Linked DNA regions of Ovis aries. The protein of the gene in region 2 interacts with the protein of the main gene of each other region in a pairwise test. Links are inferred from orthologs where the notes say so. Each region holds a gene or a part of one and is shown on either strand. Other genes may lie near its edges.

What was found.
Region 1: the proteins of PPP1CA (region 2) and LMTK2 interact in a two-hybrid assay, tested with the Homo sapiens proteins (2 studies listed by BioGRID and IntAct, with this or other methods). The link is inferred for Ovis aries from reciprocal best matches to the Homo sapiens genes PPP1CA and LMTK2.

What each region holds. Positions count from the first base shown.
Region 1 is NC_056077.1:38,303,645-38,307,392, forward strand, and holds the start of LMTK2 (serine/threonine-protein kinase LMTK2), read right to left. Parts: upstream 2,498-3,748; 5' UTR 2,178-2,497; coding exon 2,081-2,177; intron 1-2,080. UniProt on the Homo sapiens protein: Phosphorylates PPP1C, phosphorylase b and CFTR.
Region 2 is NC_056074.1:41,699,879-41,703,626, forward strand, and holds the start of PPP1CA (serine/threonine-protein phosphatase PP1-alpha catalytic subunit), read right to left. Parts: upstream 2,777-3,748; 5' UTR 2,727-2,776; coding exon 2,672-2,726; intron 2,142-2,671; coding exon 2,010-2,141; intron 1,865-2,009; coding exon 1,634-1,864; intron 1,002-1,633; coding exon 897-1,001; intron 310-896; coding exon 86-309; intron 5-85; coding exon 1-4. UniProt on the Homo sapiens protein: Protein phosphatase that associates with over 200 regulatory proteins to form highly specific holoenzymes which dephosphorylate hundreds of biological targets.

The DNA of each region.
Region 1 (3,748 bases), on a different chromosome or scaffold from region 2:
TTTTATCTCCCATGTATGTTCCAGAGGGCTTCTTCTTTCTTGATCATCGAGCTCACTTACCAGGACTAGCGCAAAGGTTTCTTTCTTTATTTCTCTTGATCTAATACATCTTGGTCAAGAATCCATCTCCATTACCAGTATTAAAAATCTCTTTTGAACGGAAATACAAACTGCCAGATCTATGTGAGATTGTGCATCCTTCCCAAGAATTTAACCCTGGCAGGTACTTGTCACCATATGCCGCAAGTCTCACCATAAGACCCTCCAAGCAACGAACACGAAGGGAGAATCTACAAGAGCTGGTATATGTCACCAAATAGCTCTTTATGTTTTATTTAATGCCAAGATTTGACATTTCTACTTACAGATTAATTTTCCCGATTGCTCTGTCTCCAACAAAAACATCAATTTTTTTACTTGTACCTCCATAAAATTTTAAAAGAAGGGAATAAAATACATGTTAAGAGATTTATAGGCAGACACACTTCCAAAGGTTCCTACACAGAATGTTTTCCAAAATATGTAAAAGTTTGATGAACTGCAAAGTCATCTGGACACTTCCTGAATCCCGTCTGCATCCATATCCTTTATCCACTATCCTACCCTGCAGCCAATTTTCCATTTCACCATGAATATCTGTCCATATCAACATCGACACTCCTCCCTATAGCCTTTTATAACTTCCCAGGTACTTTCTGGGACTCTTACCTGGGCTGCCTACACACTCCTCATAATGCTCACTCTTCTTATCTATTAGATCAGAAAACAGCGATCACCTCAAAAATATCTGATTTAAGGCAGTGGCTGAAATTTAGTGATACACTGTATGTTACAATGGTAACAGTTAATACTCCACTAAAGGGCACTCAATGACATAACCTGGTGTGTCTCTGTAAACAATTATATTTAGCTTCCATTGTAGATGTGCTTGAAAAATATGTCTTTTCTAGAGACAGCACCTTCCACTTTCTGTACCCAATTAACATCATTCTAAAATAACTCTTGACCTCAAGAGTATTCTAAACAGCTAAGAGACTTGATATGGTAAAGGAGAAAAATCACACAACTAGGGGAATCTAAGACCTGGGTTTTACTTGTGGCTCCACCTACAATTTAGCTGTGTCACCTTGGGTAGGTCATTGGACCCCCAGAGCCTCACTATCTTCAACTGCAAAACGGTAAAAATTGGACTAAATTTTCTTTAAGGCCTCTTCTATCTCTAAAATCCCATGATTCTGTGAAATTTCAGTCTCCTCTCAATTCAAAGATCGGCAGCAGCAGATAACAGCAAATTAGCCTAGATTATTTTTTTCCTTAAAAAAAAAAAAAATTATCCAACTTGAGGTGCGTTCCTGGACTGAAGTTTTATCGGGGAAAATAAACCACAAACGAAAACGATGGGAGAAAAATAAAAAGAAAATCACACACTGACATAGCTAAAATAGAAACTTCAATCACCCCCTGGGCCATTTTGTCAATAGTTATTCAAAGGCTGCTACTCTAATCACTGGCTTCCTAAAATAAAGATATTTATAGAGCTGCTTCCTTCTCATCCCCAGAGATCCAATTCGAATAAAAAGCACAGCGTTTTGAAATCAATTGACAACTTCGGAAAGAGTTGCAGGGAGCGAAGGAAACTCTGCGAAGCTCTCCAAACTCATTTGTATTTAAAAGTACGATTAGGGCTAAGAAACGGTTCTTATTATAAGATGTGAGGGGGAAAAAAAGCACAGGAGGCAGGTGACATCTGGGGAAGGAAGCTGAACTGCCGGGAAGCGATATAGGCTGAGGACCTTCGGGCAACAGGTCCAGAGCCGGGACCGCAGCCTACCCCGGGGAGGGGTTGGGGGCTGCCGCCCGGCCAGCAGCCTCCGCCGGAGCCCCATCCGCAGCGCCTCGCCCCCGCTTCGGCCCTGGAGAGGCAGCCCGCCCCCAGCTCACGCCCCTGCGGCAGAACCTCGCCTCAGCACGGGCTCCGCCGGGCCTCCCGCCCCGGGCAGGCCCTCCGCTTCCCCGGCGCCGAGGCCGGGCCGAGCCCGCAGACTCCTCCCCGGCTGCCCCCCGCCCCGGGCCCGCTCACCTGCACCTGTTTGCGGAAGTGGAGCGGCCCCGGCGTGGCCCACGGCCAGGAGCAGCAGCAGCAGCAGCAGCGGCGGCGGCGGCGGCGGCCCCGGCATCTCGCCCGCCGCGCGGCCCCGGGGGCCGGCTCTCGGGTCGCCCTCCCTCCTGTCCGTCGGTCTGTCCCTCGGTCGGTCCTGCCTCCCTTCGCTGCCTCAGCGGCACCCGCGCCGGGTGCTCTCAGGCACGCGTCGCTTCAGCCACACCTCAGCCCGGCTCCTGGTCCGCACCCACCACTCCGACCTCGGAAACACCATCCTTCCCGCCCGTCCGCCTGCCCGCGCCGCCGCCTCTCAGCAGCAGCAACGGCAGCCGCTCTGCGGAGCCGCGGGCCCCGGCGGCCGCGCTCCCACCGCCATGATGGGCTGCGTCATGTGACGTAGGGCGGGGGGCGGGACGCCGTGATAGACAGCCCGTCCCGCCAGTCGTCAGTTCCACACTGGCCCTGGAGGCCCCGCCCACCGCCCTGGAGGAGGGACGGTGGCCGCCGGTGCGCCCCCTGCAGACACAGACGTGCATGGGCAGCAGGTGATGCCAGCAATTATTTTAAAAAAAAAAATTTTTTTTTTAAAGGTAAGTATAAGAAGACAATGAAAAGCATCCAGAATCCGTCCTGAATTTTTTTCTCCGTATTTTAAAAACGTGTAAAAATAGGCCTCTTTTGTCTTCAGCCTTTTTTACTTGTAATAGGCGTTTTAGACTCTTCTTAGGTTGACCTATTCAGCCACGGAGGAACTATGGGATTTTTTATTTCAGTTCGACAAGAATAGAATACTGTCTCCCCTCGCACCCGCTAATTCAGCTCCTGAGCTCAAGCTGTTCCCCTTGACAAGAGTGCTCGTCCTGTCCTTTCTTTGCCACCTGGCACGCTCCCTTTCCCTGGTGGAGACTCTCCTGAAGAATACAGTCATCTAAGGAGGCCTCTCCCAACCCCAGGAGAAATGACTGTCATCTCCTAGTGCCCTGCCGTGGCCCTGGCCCCACTGCTATCCCGGCTGCCAGGCTGTATTGTTCCTGTGACTGTGAGCTCCCCGAGGACAGGAACAGTGCACGTGTCAGCGGCCGGTGCCTGGCACCAGTGGGAGGCCTGGCTCCAGGAGGCATTCTCTACAAGAGTACTGCCTGGCCTGGATGCCCGCCTCTTCCCACCAAGAGACAAGGCCCAGCCAGCAGGTGAGGAGAGACCATCCTACTGCAGAAAGGCGAGAGAAGAATTATTTTCCAGGTAGAAGTAATAATGAGCAGAAGCTTGGGAGCTGGGAAAATGCTGGGCTTTTCCAAAGAATGCACTCATAGTCCAGTGTGTGCATGAGACGGACTGACTTGAATCTTATCAGATGGGGCGCTACCAACTGGCTTCAGGGGGGCCTCCCCAGTTCTCCAGACGCCTCAAGTCCATCTTGAATGCCAGCTCTCTGCAGTGCTGATCCCTTGAGGACACACAGACCATGTCCAGGGAATATTTGTTGGACGTATAAGGCAAGACAATAAACACCTAAGTAAACAAATAGCTGGAATGTGGAAGTGCTGGGTTAAAGTATCCATGGCTGTCTGCTGATCTCTATGTGCAAAAGGAAAGGAAGGCAAAGGTCAAGAAACGAGACAGTCACCTGTTGTGCTTCTACTTTCT
Region 2 (3,748 bases):
CTACCTGGACGAGGGTGGAGGCGGTTAGTTCAGCAGGAGCTGGCTGCCAGCCCTGCTCTAACCCAGATGGGGGCTGCCAGCCCACCTGGTGTGCCCGGCAGATGAGGTCCAGGTCATGCTTGTGCAGGAACTTGGCCACCACCTCAGCTCCAAAGGTAAAGGAGACGCCGCGGTCATTCTCGCCCCAGCCCTGCACGTCCTTGTCAGGGTCAGACCACAGCAGGTCACAGAGCAGGCCCTGGTCAGGCACATCTGTGGGCCGCATGATGCGCCGGATCTGCTCCATGGACTGTAGGTCTGGGGACAGGCCTGGAGGGCACAGGGGGCAGGTCACCTCCTCCAGGCAGCCTTTGCCAATCAGCCTCTGCCCCCCACCTCTCCAGGATTCCTGGGAGCCTACAAAGGCAGAACTCATCACCTTCTGCCTCTTCCAAGTCCCTGTCCCTTCAAGGAGCACAGAGCTCCCTGGAGAAAGTGTTTTCGCTCAGTCGTGTCCGACTCTTTGCAACCCCATGGACTGTCCAGGCAAGAAAGCTGGAGCGAGTAGCCATTCCTTTCTTCAGGGGATCGTCCCAACCCAGGGATCAAACCTGGGTCTCCCGCATTGCAGGCAGATTCTTTACCATCTGAGCCACTAGGGAAGCCCTGGAGAAAGGGGACAAGCAAACTCCATGCAAGAAGGCGAGGCCATGACACAACAGTGGGTGCAGCCTAATGCTGCAGTGCGGGGGCACGTCATGGAAGAAGTACTACCCATACCAGGACTCCAGGGAGAGCTGTTCCTGGCGACTGGGAACACATCTTCCAGCCGACGCTTCTGTCCCAAGGTCCCCAGGGGTGCTCACCCTGGGAGGCTCATCCTGCTCAAGAATTCACATGCCCAGAGCTGTGCTCACCTCCATGGCAACAGAAGATCTTCTCGTCCACGATGGCAGCGATGGGCAGGCAGTTGAAGCAATCAGTGAAGGTCTTCCACAGTTTGATGTTGTAGCGTCTCTTGCCTGCCCAGGGGGAAGGAGACAGCTCACCAGAGGGCCTCTGCTCCACCCTCAGCCCAGGTCTCCAGGCCTTCCAGGACACATTGTGTGTTGTTCAGACACAGCTAGGAGGAGAGAATGGAAGGCAAAAAAGGAAACCGAACCCCCGCCCCCTACCCCTACTACCCCACTGCCTCCCAGACAGAATTCTAAAGCAGCCAAGTCCACGGGAACCCCAGAGTTCCACTTCTGGCACGACCTCAAGGTTGGCATCCACCCCCAGCACAAGAGCAGGGCCAGGTCGAGACAGGGTCTGGTTCATCTTGGCTTCTGTCTAACAGAGTCCAGTCCCAACAGGCATCCTAAGTGCTTAAGTATCGGATGCGCTGGAGGGGAGTGTCAGCAGGTGAGGCCCTGCCTTAGAATCCTGGCAGCCCTTCAGCCAGCAGCCACTGGCTAGGTCCCTCCTGAGTGCCAGGATCTGCTCTAGGAGGGTCGGGGAGGGTGGCATGGGCTGGTGCTACCTTCACGGCACTCAGCTTAGCAGGTGTTTGTCAGACGCTGACACCCCAGCCACCAGGTCAACACGAGGGTCGCACTGAATGGCAAGGAGAGCCCTTTAGGACCAGGGCAGCCCAGATGCTCTGCCCACTCACACTCATCATAGAAGCCGTAGATGCGGTTGATACTGGCACACTCGTGGTTCCCACGGAGCAGGAAGAAGTTCTCCGGGTACTTGATCTTATAGGCCAGCAGCAGGCAGATGGTCTCCAAAGACTGCTTGCCCCTGTCCACGTAGTCCCCCAGGAACAGGTAGTTACTTTCTGGAGGGAAGCCGCCGTACTCAAACAGCCGCAGAAGGTCATAGTACTGGCCGTGAATGTCACCTGTGACCCAGGGAACCAGGTCAGCACTAGGGCAGCCTAAACGTGAACCCAGGGTCAGGGTTGGGCCCAAGGGAGGAGAAACTTGGGAGGGGTGGGGGGCAAGGCCGCTTTCAGGAGGCCACGGGGACCTGGGCTGGGGGCTCACCGCAGATCTTGAGGGGTGCCTCCAGCTCCAGAAGAATGGGCTGGCTCAGGAAAATCTCCCGGGATTTGAGGCACAGACCACGGATCTCGTTCTCCGTCAGCTGTACATTCTTTCCAGGCCTGGAGCCCTGCACTGGGGGCGGAAAGAGGCGTCAGGACCCTGGTTCCTCAGGCAAGAAGAGGGTGAATGTCACTGGTGGCCCCAAAGGCACTTCTGGGTAGGGGCTCCTGGGCCTCCCGGCCCCGCCTTGCCCAGGGGCAGCTGTTGCTGCTGAGCCTCCTGGGACCCCCAACTGCCCTCAAGGCGCTCGCGAGGGGACTGCTGTGCGCAGAGGCCATCCAAAACCTCAGCACAGGACCCCTTCCTGGGGGACTAGGCTTCTCAGGTTTCTCCCTCAGCCAAGAGCCCAGGCCAATCCTTGCGCGCCCACCCCCGCCACCGCCAACCCCGGTTCTGCTCTGGCAAGGGGAGCAACCCCAGACCTCCCAGCGCGCCACGACTGGGGTGGGGTGGGGGCACGATGTGGCCACGGGACCTCGCGGCCCGTCCCCGCCCAGTCAAAGCTGGCCCTGGGAGGGGCAGGTCCACCCGCGCGCCACTTCCGGGCCGGGCAGGGGACCAGGGCGCGGCGGGCGCCCACCTCCCTCGCCTCCCCGGCCAACCTTCCAGCAGGCGTCCGATTATAGAGTCCAGGTTGAGCTTCTCGCTGTCGGACATGGCGGCGCCGCCGCTCTGGCCCAGCACCTCCGGGCCCTATCCTGCCTCCCGCCCTCCCGCGGCCTCCTTCCGGCCTGGTGCTCCTTCCGCCCGCCCGGGCCCGCCCCGGCCCGCCGCCCCGCCTCCTCTGCCGGCAGCCCCGCCCCGCCGCACCCGGCCCCGCCCCGGCCCGCCCGGTCGCCCGCCGCCCCTGCGCTCTAGCGCCTCCACTGGACGCCAGGCCCGGGGCCCGCGGCGGCTCGGGAGGCGGGGCTCGGGCTGACCTGGTTGCGGGGGCGGAGCCTACACTGGGGGCGGGGCTTCACGGGGCGAGGTCGACTCTAGTTCCGCCCTTGAGGAGTTACCCACCCTTGCACCGAGGATGTGCGGCCGGAAGTAGTGTGGAGTTGTTTTTCTCTTTCAAGGGCCCAATAGTCCTTCCCATTTCTGTCCCGGGCTAGAAGGTGGTGTGACCTCATTGATATCTCATTGGGTCTCCCCAGAGAGTGCAGATTAAATCCACGAAGTGCAGGAAAGGAAACAGGTTCAAAGATAGCAAGGGTTGGCTTCAGACTGACGGAGGAGCTCTCACCTCTAGGGTCCCTGTGGCCTGCGGGCGGCTGACCATACCCAGACACCTGTCGCTGAACGCCGAGCTCATTTTGGTCCCCCTGCCCGTGGCGCATGCTACACCATTACTACTATTTTTTAATGTCTCGTCGTTGTGTTTTGAGTAGCGCAGTAATGACTTACTGTTTGACTTGTCGAAAGCGTTAACAAAAGAAGTCACGTTAAATAAAGTGTAATACTCACTGGAACCCTGAATTGAGTGTTTTATTTGCCTGTGACCTCACATCTGGAGGCAGCGTGGCCTCTCTACCTCTGGCAGGCCCTGGCTGCATCACACCCAGCACAAGAACCCAGGCCTGCACCCACCTAGCCCACCGGGGTGGTGGGAGGAGCCCATGGCCCAGGGCTACTGGGGCAGGCCGGAAGAGCCCTGGAGAGGAAGGGGTAACCCCCCCCACCACGCACTTGGGAGG